2 linked regions of the Drosophila melanogaster genome follow. Changing the gene in region 1 together with any one later gene gives a genetic interaction. Each region holds a gene or a part of one and is shown on either strand. Other genes may lie near its edges. The genes, in order: dbo and Pak.

Evidence for each region.
Region 2: of dbo (region 1) and Pak, changing one suppresses a phenotype caused by changing the other (phenotypic suppression), as found in Drosophila melanogaster (one study listed by BioGRID).

Annotation. Positions count from the first base shown.
Region 1 is NT_037436.4:15,825,377-15,832,803, forward strand, and holds dbo (diablo), read left to right. Parts: upstream 1-1,511; 5' UTR 1,512-1,720; intron 1,721-2,569; 5' UTR 2,570-2,626; coding exon 2,627-2,675; intron 2,676-2,942; coding exon 2,943-3,661; intron 3,662-3,809; coding exon 3,810-4,501; intron 4,502-4,639; coding exon 4,640-4,829; intron 4,830-4,894; coding exon 4,895-5,116; 3' UTR 5,117-5,202; coding exon of another isoform or gene 5,203-5,227; 3' UTR 5,228-6,628; downstream 6,629-7,427. Other genes in the region: DCP2 (decapping protein 2), read right to left, coding at 95-203; CG12713 (uncharacterized protein), read left to right, coding at 7,152-7,411. UniProt on the Drosophila melanogaster protein: Probable substrate-specific adapter of an E3 ubiquitin-protein ligase complex which mediates the ubiquitination and subsequent proteasomal degradation of target proteins. May have a role in synapse differentiation and growth.
Region 2 is NT_033777.3:6,349,344-6,354,194, forward strand, and holds the start of Pak (p21-activated kinase), read left to right. Parts: upstream 1-1,552; 5' UTR 1,553-2,008; intron 2,009-3,779; exon of another isoform or gene 3,780-4,196; intron 4,197-4,744; exon of another isoform or gene 4,745-4,851. Other genes in the region: Hr83 (hormone receptor 83), read left to right, coding at 1-524, 958-1,169.

The sequences.
Region 1 (7,427 bases):
CTTTATGCTTTGTATTTACATATATTTTATTATTTTTATAGTTTATTATGAACCCACTGGAAGTGTACCGCTTATCATCTAGAGACCCGCCTACCGTTATCATCCTTGCTGCTACTGCCGACGCTAGCAGAGGCAGAGACGGCGGCAGAGGCAGAGGCTGTGACGACAGCGACGGCGTTATTGATCAGTGGTGCGATTTCCATAATATTTATTTAGATATCGGAGCTCCGTTTGTTTATGTAATACACTTTATTGGCTTTACTTTTTGTGTTTGTCTTTTTCGCAAAATATTTTTGTTTGTTTGTTAATTCACATTCGCGTCTCTCTCTGTCTGCACCAGTCTTTCGATACGCTTGTGTGTTTATGTGTGAGAGAGCGCAACTGTGTGTATGTGTGTGAGAGAGCGCAACTGTGTGTGGGTGTACGAATGTGAGTATGTGTGTGTAAGCGTTTTGTCACGTATTTTTACAACGGCGTTGCTTTTGTAGTAAATATGGCTGCCAAGTTTCGAAAATTTCTGCAATCGTCCGCTTTTGTCGCACGAATTTAAATTTCCAATGCAATTTTTGTACTTGTACTCTAGTTATTCCATCGGTTGCATTACATCCTTTTGCTATTGTTCTCTCGATTTTCGCTCTCTTTCCCTCAACATGTTTTGCATTTGCATTTAATTCTGTTGTTGCTATTGCTGTTTTTGTTGCTGTGTCGTCGTTTTTGTTATTGCTATAGTCGTTGTCGTTTTTGTTGTTTGTGTTCCACTCCATCCACAAAATAATTGAGTGCGCTCCACTTTGGTGCGAGGGAGACGGAAAATTCTTCGCACGCACACAGTCTCACGTTTTTCCGTTTTCTTTTCTCGCCCAGTTCACGTACTTTCCACTTTCCAATCTCAAATTATTATTTGCTCACCGAACTTTTTCGCGATCTAAATTGCCTTTATTTACACGTTGCACTTAAAATTAGCTACTATTTTGCACTATTTAACGGGCTTTTCAACTGCTCAAAACTCGCCTTCCTCTTCAGCGTCGCGTATAGAAATAGTATGAAATAAAAAATACCAGCATGCTGCTCACTAAGATACCAAAATATACCGTTTCTTTAGCGACCAGGGAAGCCAAATACAGTTGGCTCTGTGATAAATGTACTCTTACAAAGCCTGTCTTACGTTATTTGCTTATTTTTTCGGGAATATTAAAAGACAGTTTACTAATGAAAATTTTAAGAGATTATTATAATGATTTCAATAATTCACAGTTAGATTCCCTTCCGTTGCACTTACTTGTAGTTGTATACAAATAGTGTTTATTTTATTTTTAATTATTTAAAAATATGTGATCTCTTATTTTAATTTCGAAAAAAAATGTGAAGAGATATTTCAAACAGATCTCCTTAAAATTAGCTTACGTTTACGATTTAATAACAATATCGATATAACGAAATGTCCACCAAAGTATCACAATATAAATAAGTGTATTCTCAAAAATATCGATACACTGATATTGTTATGCATTTCTCACATCTCTATCGCCATACCAATCGTTTCGTGTTTCGACTTTTCCAGGCCAACCAAAAAACGATTTTTCCGTACTGAAAAGTGCAATTCGCGCAAGGAAAATCTTCGATGTGGTCCTTTTAAGCCATCAAGATTGCATTTTCGAAATTTTCCGCCTGCAGCTGGCCCTGGACGTGCTTTGTATCCGTAGAGAACAGAGACGCAAAGGTTGGGACACCAACATATACATCGAAATCTAAACCAACATCATCCGCGTGTGTGTGTGTGTGGTGTGTGCTTGTGGGTGGACCAGGTTACCTTTCAGTTTTAAGGTGTTCCATGGAGTGAATGTTGTAAAAGCGATTGAACATATATCACATGAATAAAAGAGATTTCAGTTTTAATTAAATTAGGTTGAAGATAATTCCACAAGCATATTATTGAACTAGAGAACTGTTTATCTTAACCATCGATTAACTCAACCTGCCAATTTGTTTACCAATTAAAGTACATGTTTTAATTTTAAAACTTAGCTATTTTAAGATTCAAAACAGAAGTTTCAAGTAACGATCTTTTAGCTTAAAGTTTCTAAATATTTAAGGATTATTAATATTTATTTTATATCATTTATACGAATGGTGGATTGTTAAACTTAACGTGTTGAATGAATACCTTAAATAACACTCGTATTAGTGTTAAGATGTTTCTTTAGTCGAAAGGTCCACCTTAGTATCCGCAGATCCGAAGTTGTGAATGTGTGCGTGTTACACAGCATGTCTGTGTGTGGGTGGTGCAAAAGGGCGGAGGACAAGAAAAATAAATCAGAATTTCCACATCCAGTGCCCAGAATATGAATTATTTGCATCAAAAATGTACAATTACTTAATTTATTAAGTAAACAGTCGCTTCAAGAAGATATTAAACGAAGCACAATGTCCTTGTAAATTGATTAGTTACTTACTTACTTATAATCGAGTTCAATGCCGCCCTTCTACGCCCTACCTACGCATTGATTTAATTTACTTTGACTTGACCATTAATCACTATTCTACTATATACTACCATTTCTGCCCACAGATAGACGCCGTGTGGGGTTGGGTTGCTTCCGGCCCGCTGCGCTTAGCAGCGAACAGAATGGGCGACCTGCCGGGCTCGGGCTCCACCGCTCAACCACGGGATGCTGGTAAGGATTTGATAGGAGCTTGGTTTGGAATTGGGAAGAGAGCAAGCCAGGGGCAACCTGTGTGCCTCATGTGACTTTAAATACTTCATATTTGTTCGTAAGACTATGATCTTTCAGCTAAAAAATACTATTAGAAAAGGTTTTTCCTTCATAAAAAAGTATTTGAACTCTCATTCACAATTCCAATTAATCGGTACCATTAAGTTTATTTGTACTATTCCAAACATATGGTATTTTTATACTCAAAATCATTATGTATGCCAACAGCTGTCACCGGTACCGGTGGTAATTCCACGGCTGGTGGCGGCTCCTCCGTTGGATCTACGGCAGTGGACCGACCTCCGTCGCCCGCCCGCCTCTCTCACACGTCCGAGAAACATCCGAAGGTCACGCTCACTGAACTAAATATGCTACGGCGCCATCGGGAGCTCTGCGATGTGGTGCTCAACGTGGGCGGACGGAAGATCTTTGCCCACCGGGTAATCCTGTCCGCCTGCAGCTCCTACTTCTGTGCCATGTTCACTGGCGAATTGGAGGAATCGCGCCAGACTGAGGTCACCATACGCGACATCGATGAGAATGCCATGGAGCTGCTCATCGACTTTTGTTACACCGCCCACATAATCGTCGAGGAGTCGAATGTCCAGACCCTCCTTCCCGCCGCCTGCCTGCTTCAACTGGTTGAGATTCAGGACATCTGCTGCGAGTTCCTCAAACGGCAATTGGATCCCACCAACTGCCTGGGCATACGCGCCTTTGCCGACACACACTCCTGCCGGGAACTTCTACGGATCGCCGACAAATTCACGCAGCACAACTTCCAGGAGGTGATGGAGAGCGAGGAGTTTCTGCTGCTCCCCGTCGGCCAGCTGGTGGACATCATTTGCAGCGACGAGCTAAACGTGCGCTCCGAGGAGCAGGTCTTCAACGCGGTCATGTCCTGGCTCAAGTACAATGTCGCCGAGCGGCGACAACATCTGGCACAGGTGAGCTACTGTAAACCATATCTGATTACTACTCACCGATTCCTACTTGTTCCGTTTGATAATTACTTTGGAATAATATAAACAGCTCAATTTTTAAGTATTGCAACTAATAAATAAATAATGAATTGATATTTTCGAATATTCTCAGGTGCTCCAACACGTCCGTCTGCCTCTGCTGTCGCCAAAGTTCCTGGTTGGCACGGTGGGCTCTGATCTCCTGGTGCGCAGCGACGAGGCCTGCCGGGATTTGGTGGATGAGGCTAAGAACTATCTGTTGCTTCCGCAGGAGCGACCGCTGATGCAGGGTCCACGCACCAGACCGCGAAAGCCAACTCGACGAGGCGAAGTCCTGTTCGCCGTGGGCGGTTGGTGTTCCGGCGATGCTATTGCCTCCGTGGAGCGTTTCGATCCTCAGACCAACGACTGGAAAATGGTCGCTCCCATGAGCAAACGACGCTGCGGAGTTGGCGTGGCCGTGTTAAATGATCTACTTTACGCCGTGGGCGGTCACGATGGCCAGAGCTATCTGAATAGCATCGAGCGTTATGATCCACAAACGAATCAATGGTCCTGCGACGTTGCGCCCACCACTTCCTGCCGCACCAGCGTCGGCGTGGCTGTGCTCGACGGCTTCTTGTACGCGGTGGGTGGCCAGGATGGCGTTCAATGTTTGAACCACGTGGAGCGCTACGATCCAAAAGAGAACAAATGGTCGAAAGTGGCACCGATGACAACAAGGCGACTGGGAGTGGCGGTAGCCGTGCTTGGAGGATTTCTCTACGCAATTGGCGGCTCCGATGGACAGTGCCCGTTGAACACCGTAGAGCGATATGATCCCAGGTAAATCATAAATAAAGCATTTAAAAGCTTTAGACGTACAAGTACATTTTCTATCGCTTGTAACAAATGACCTTAATGTACATTGCACTTGAACGTAGTATTTGTTTGATTTACATTGCCCCGATTTTATCATTACAGACACAACAAATGGGTAGCAGTCAGCCCGATGTCAACGCGACGCAAGCACCTGGGCTGTGCTGTGTTCAATAACTACATTTACGCCGTCGGCGGGCGAGACGATTGCATGGAGCTCTCGTCCGCCGAGCGCTACAATCCACTGACCAATACCTGGAGCCCCATCGTGGCCATGACCTCCCGCCGCAGTGGGGTGAGTTTTTGTTACACTTTTTCTCGGCGAATAGTATTGTATTAAATGAAATCGCACCATTTTAGGTTGGCCTGGCCGTCGTCAATGGACAGCTGTATGCTGTGGGCGGCTTTGATGGTTCCGCCTATTTGAAAACCATCGAGGTCTACGACCCAGAGACGAACCAATGGCGTTTGTGCGGCTGCATGAACTACCGCCGACTGGGCGGCGGCGTGGGCGTTATGCGTGCCCCTCAGACTGAGAACTATATGTGGTGCGAAAATAGTTTTAAGCAACCGAATTCCTGAAACTAACTCAACTCCCATCCCTTCCATTGCTGATGAAATGTTGTCTTGTCTCTCTTTTCCCCCCGAAAACATGCTAACAAATTCAGGATACGGAAAGATTCTGTTGTCTGATGGGAACAGCAGCCGACAACGTTGCCCTCGCAAACGTTGCCGCCGCCGCACTTCTACTAACAATATCCGCAATCGAAGCCAAATCTAATCGACTAAACAAAACATCTTTTCGCCCCATTGTCTACTAGCAGTGTAATCGCTTTGTATTAATTGTTAATTGTTTATTTGGTAGAGCCTAAAGCGCATGTTTGTTAGACTTTTCCGGAATAGTATTAGAGTTAGCATTGTTCCCACGTTCACCTGCAATAACACATCCCCATCACTCCTGTGCGTAATTATATATGATTCTACTGTATGTTAAGCAAGTATATTTTATAAATAACTTAATATCTAAATGTTGCCGGTGGTATTTCATGGAAATCGCTAGCTCATAACCATGCCTTCTTTCGAAAAAAACAAAACAAAATCAAATATTAACCTAGAAACGAATTCGATTAGTTGTAAATCCTTAAACGAAGAGCTCTAAAGTCAAGTAACAAATTGGTATTAAAATAATTTAGATTTAAGGAGTGAATTCAAGAAAGTTTGTCCGAAATTAAACATCACAATGGTGCAATATTTCGATCGACCAACTAAACGCTGTTGTTTAGTCAAGTACACTTTAAATCTTTGCAAACGTCTTCAATAATACCACGACTATATGAAGTGAACCGAATAATTGCAAAGAATTTAAAAAAATAATGAATATTCAGCCTGTCAAGCTTAAAAAAAAACCATTAAGGTAATCACACACACACACAATGAAGAAGTTAGACCTAGCCCAAGATAATTCAATAGTAACAATTAACAATTACGCAGCCGTAAGATCAACTTTAAGGTAATAAATTTTAATATTGTTAATCCTAGATCGTGTAAACCGGTAAGAGTTTTCGGCCGGAATCAGGTCAAGTTTTAAGATGACTTATTGTTAAACCAAGTTTGACCATCGAGCTGAATGAACCAACTCGAATTAATCGCTTAGATAAGGGAGTTAAAACACAAGTAGACTCTCAATAACAACACATTTTCTTTGTTGCCTTTTACACCAACACTATTAAACAATTATTTATTCAAAATTATTATTTATTACACGCTTTCGTATCTCATTTAGTTTATTTTAGGTGCACATTTATAAACTGTTGTTAAATCGAGCAAAAAGGAATGATCTTTGCTTCCAAATGATGAATAAGAATAGCATTTATAAAAAACCAAGCTTATTTATATTATAGCTTTAAGTCAAAATGGTCAACAATTATACAAAAATTCGCATACCACCCATTATGCGTAGTTAAAAAATAACATTTCCTAGTTGTGTTGAGTGGTAAAAGTGCTTAACGCAAATAATAGAAGTGTTAACCTAAGAAATGATCGTAAACCCGTGCTATGTATAAGAATATATAAAAATAAAAATATATCAAAATTAAGACACTTTGTTTCATTCAATACATTACAGCCAAGGGCGGAAATTGCTGCCAAAAAATAATTAAAAATAAATATCCAAGTGTACTATTTTGTATTATATTCTATAATTTATAAATTTGTAATGCAATCAATGTACCGTTACGCGGTACTGGTACGCATCGGTACAATAGTTACGATATTGGATCCTTTACCGATAGCCGATGCTCGAACCCGATTGTTTTTGTTTTAGGCCTTAATTCGCACACACTGATTTGGTGGCACTACACACATTTTGTTATTTTAAACATTTTTCAAGAAGTCAATATTATGATAACAATTTTATGAAAATAATTGAACTAAATGCATTCGGAACATTTCGATATACACTGCCGACCAGTGTGAACGCTTCGCGACGTGGAGAAACTTCAGGCACGTCAGCTATCGATAAATTAAAATGTGTATTCGATTAGCGTACGTTAAACAGCTGTTTATTCTGGCGCTCTTTCATACGTTCGCTGAAATAGTTTTGTATTTCTGGCCGGAAATGATGTCCCAAATTCCGGATTTGGCCGGCGGAAATGGGCAACAGAAGCGAAAGATTCTGAGCGGCGGCGAATACAATAAGATTTGCCGGTTTATCAACGGCTTCCACGGCTTGGCCATCGACTGCGAGTTCGAGTTGAGGAATCGCTTCTTCAGGGACGTGGAGCCAATGGCATTGACATGCATCCTGCAGTCGGAGCTTTTTAACCGGTCGCGTGGTCACTGGAAGCAGGATCAGCGCGGGAAAAGGCTTCTCAAAGCGTAAGGCCACAATCTC
Region 2 (4,851 bases), on another chromosome or scaffold:
CGTGCGGCGCGGGAGCAGCTACGCCTGCATCGCTCTGGTCGGGAACTGTGTGGTGGACAAGGCGCGGCGGAACTGGTGTCCCTCCTGCCGCTTCCAGCGATGCCTGGCCGTGGGAATGAACGCTGCTGCGGTTCAGGAGGAGCGCGGTCCGCGCAACCAGCAGGTGGCTCTCTACCGCACTGGCCGGAGACAAGCTCCGCCATCTCAGGCGGCGCCATCCCCGACGCCCCACTCCCAGGCGCTGCACTTCCAGATCCTCGCCCAGATCCTTGTCACGTGCCTGCGCCAGGCGAAGGCCAACGAGCAGTTCGCTCTGTTGGATCGCTGCCAACAAGACGCCATCTTTCAGGTGGTGTGGAGCGAGATCTTCGTCCTGCGAGCGTCCCACTGGTCTCTGGACATCAGCGCCATGATCGACGGCTGCGGCGATGAGCAGCTCAAACGGCTCATTTGCGAGGCCCACCAGCTAAGGGCCGACGTCCTGGAACTCAACTTTATGGAGTCCCTAATCCTGTGCAGAAAAGGTAAAGCTCCGCCTGTGCGGTAAAAAGGCTTGTTAGGATTTAAAAATAAAAGCGGTTTGAAGCCATCTAACCAATTTTCAATGTTTTTACACATATTGACGTGATTTCTTAGACGAAAATTTAAATCCTATGTACGCTATGTATAGATTTTGCTATTTGATTCTGCATGAAAGAGTACACCCAAGCAGTTTTCTTAACCCCAGAAAAAACGTTTCCGTTTTGGGCTTAATAAATTCAAAAGAAAATTTTCCAGCATGTGCAGTTGGTTTGTTTGAACCAACCATAAAATTTGATTAGATTCAAGATTAGAGACAGATTTAAGACCTTTTACATCGTTTTAATTTAATTAAGAGTTTAATAGGAAGTCAAACCACCATTAGTATATCCCATTTTAATACTTTTAATTGCTTATATCGATTGCATGTTTTTACAGAATTGGCCATCAATGCGGAGTATGCCGTTATCCTGGGAAGCCACTCTAAAGCCGCCCTGATCTCCTTAGCCCGCTACACCCTGCAGCAATCCAACTACCTGCGGTTCGGACAACTGCTCCTTGGTCTGAGGCAGCTGTGCCTGAGGCGCTTCGACTGCGCGCTTTCTTGTATGTTTCGCAGCGTGGTCAGGGACATCTTAAAAACACTTTAGGCTCATATCTATCTTCATCTTTCAAAATTAAAGAAAAACCTAGTCTTAAAGAGGGTACTAGATAATGGCTGTTTTTCTGTTCGCCAGTTCAAACATCTAAAGTAACTTCGCTATCTGAAGTTTCAACCCATATCTAAAAATGCATTCATTTCTGTCAACAATCGTTCATGGAGGCATTTAGACACGCCCCAAACTTTATTGGCACTATGCAATTTGTTGGAAATAAAAATATTTGGAACAAAGAGATTATTATGAACTCAAAATTTGATGTGGTATTTTTTGAAAAACACTTTTTCAAAGGTCGCCAATCACAATACAAAAAACTCATCGATATGTTGTGAAAAGTCACGGAGCGAATATATTCGTTTCTGTTCGCTATCGATATATTGATATATTTTTGCCATCGCTACATTGTCTGCTGCGGCCGTCTTGTCGTCTTTCTGTAATTATTTTTCGTAGTTAACAAACCCCTGAATAATGTAAACCAATTAGTGGGTGATGCAAGGACCGAAAATGCGCGCGCGTTGCTAAAGAAGCTAGAAAGCGAGAAAGTTTGCGGAGCGCCATAAGATTGCTGCGCTTTAACTGCTGCTGGTGCCTCTCGTCCGTCGGCCATTTATGACACACACCAGAGAAAACTGGAAAACAATACAGTGTGTGTGCGGTTTGGAGTGTGTGCGAGTGCGGCCAAGTGTTGTGGGCTCGGAAAACTCCAAGAAGCCAGTGGAGAAGTGGTGTCCACGCGAATCCGTGAATCGCAAGCGTTTCTTCTTCGACTGCAAGCGGCGTACAGGGTGCACCGTGCAAAAGAAAGGCAGCCAAGGCATATTGTACTTGCAGTGAGTTCAAGTGGAGAGTGGTGGCCGAGTGGAGCGGGTAGAATGGTCTTGTGGAGAGCGGGGCGAGGGAGTTTCATTCATAAAAAGAGAGTGCACCGTTAGTCCAATTGGTCTGGCTTCCAATGCACAGACAAGCACACACACACCGCCTAAGGAGAGGTTGCACACATTGATTTTTCCAACTCACGTGTGTGTGTGTGCGTGTATGTGGATTAAAGGAAAACGTTTCAAGTGGTTTCCACGCCACATTATTTTGGATTAGCACATTGCTGCTCCCGAATTTCCAGCCCAAAAATAAAGCAACCAAATGTCAACAAGCTGGAATGCCCCAATGCCCCTTCCCCCGCTATTAACACACGTGACACGATACAAGACATTTACATAAAGCTCTAATAACTAACAACATTTCGCAGTCGATTTGGCATTTAACAGTTACCGCTCTAACGGCACATGTCCAGTGCGCCAGTGCACCACCCCCTTCCTTCGTTCAACGAAAAACATATTTGCTTAGCACGGTCACAGGTAAAAGCGGAAGGGACAGGGACGCGCGGAAGCGGTCGCGGTAGGGAACTGAAAAGAGGAATATAAAAGGCATAACATTTCCGCCTGCTGCTTTCGGCTGGCGTCCGCAACCAAAATAGACAACGTCGGAGCGGCTGAGAGTCTCCGTCGCCAGCAGTTATGCGTGGCAACTCGCTAAATATGCACCGACCATAATCATCGTATCATTTTTAATGCTTACATTTTGTATATTGATACTAAGATAACTTACTTAAAGTCTTCGGACAGCAGAAGGTGATCTTCGTCATGTTTTGGCTTCATATTTATACAGCAATCCTCGGAAAAATTGCGTAAAATGAATTCCATGAATAAATTCTTAAGTTTAGTTTTAATAGAAAGTTAACATAAAGCAGTCGTCAAAGTAATCAAGAAGCTTGATCACAAACTTTGGCTCCGCGTAAACGTGGCGAAGAAGTATGCATATGTTTGTGGCTTCTTTCAGCTCTTGGAGCGAGCGCCACGTTTGCGTCGCTGTTGTTGCAACATGCACCTAGGCCTGCGTCACTTTGAATGTCCTACCCTCCTCCCTTCCGCTCCCCTGCGTTTGACAACCCCTGTCGCTAATTTAAATGCCGCAAGTGTTGTCGAGTTTCCTGTGCCTACAATGTGTGTTTTTCTCATTAGGGAATAATTTTGCATGGGCCCCTGCAGAAAGAAAAACATTTTTTATCGATTTTACCTAAAGTTCGACCGTCAATGAAATCAAACACAATGCGGTACATCGTTAACCCAGTTCTGGGCGCCCACACGCTCCCGAAAAGTTTGTTCTTGCTTGATTTAAAAACGAATTTTCACCTATGTGTGTATGTTTGCATGCATATTATATGTACATACATATATACGTTTATAGATCTCTGGGCAAGCAGCCAGTAAACCAACGTATGCCCATAAAGCCTATAGTACAGATATACAGTTGCGGTCAAGAATATATCACACAGCAAGTTTACTACTTTCTATTTGTCGATACTCCTTTACTTTTTATCTTAAATTCAGTATGTATCGACATACATACATATGTAATTGAAATCAACGAGCGTATCTATTGAGTAAACAATCTACTTACATCGGTGAATTTAAAAACAATTAGCAAGAAAACATTGCACTTGATAAATTGGGGTAGAAAGGTAATGTCGGAATGAACCGCATGACACATAATGATTTGGGTATTTTATCCTATGATTCTCTTATATACTTATGTACACATATATGTACATATATTGGTCACTAAGAACCCTTTTTTCTGATGATTCAAAAGTTGGAGTTGATATCTTATTAGATCCCCGCTATGCTATTAAGTTGACCACAGCTGTTGGAACTGTATGTTAATGTTTGTCCAACGTTTTCACACTTCGCCACCCCCTCGTCCCAGACTCTCCGCCTCCCGTTAGCTGCATTGACTCTTGACGCCTGACGATGATAAATGAATCATAAAAGCAGCGCAGTCGACGTCGCCGGCAAAGCAGACAGGCGCCAAAGCCGCCTTGCTCTCCTCGCCACTCTGCGCTCCCACTCCTTTTCGCCCTCTCGCTCATATGTTTGGCTGCGATGCCGCCCACTCGAGTGTGTTTATGTTGTTGCTGTCCTCGCTGCTTAATTTCCTCATTTGTGTTGCTGTAATTCCCAATGCGTGAGCTGCTTTGTTTTTATTATGAGTGCAATCGAAGCCACTCTTGTTATCGCAACGAATTTTTTATGGCTCTCGATCGTTTACGTGGGCGAGAGCGGAGCAACTGAGGTAGAGAGGATACCCTTAAAGTGTGTTGTGTGAGAACAGTGGTTTGCGTCTAATGGAAACTGAAATTAAAATATAGTCCTTTAATGATTATTCCATTTTGGGTCATATTTTTTAACTCCATATGCTCTATAGGTGCTCCAATGAATATTTAAAATAAATGAACTAAAAGTGAATAGATGTGGGTATACAATTATGATCAATGCACACTTAACTTAAATAGGATAATATTTTAAGTTCCTCACATAGATGCGCAATAATTGCTGAATTGAAATGTATAGTCTCAACTAATTTATAAAATTAGCTTCGGAGAGTATACAAAATTCGAATACCCATATCAATCAGCTTTTAAGCAATGTAGGGGAGGCACTCTCGCGAGCTGGGGTGCTCGAGACAATCTCTTGGAGCGATGTATGTTGTTTGTTGCCTTTTGCAGCCTGCTCTAGTGGCAGTGACACTCGAAGGTGGGAGACACGCTGACGGAACAACTGAGCAGCGGGCCCACAGTCCGAATTAGTTCGCCGGACGGCCTATATTGATAAATTTATAA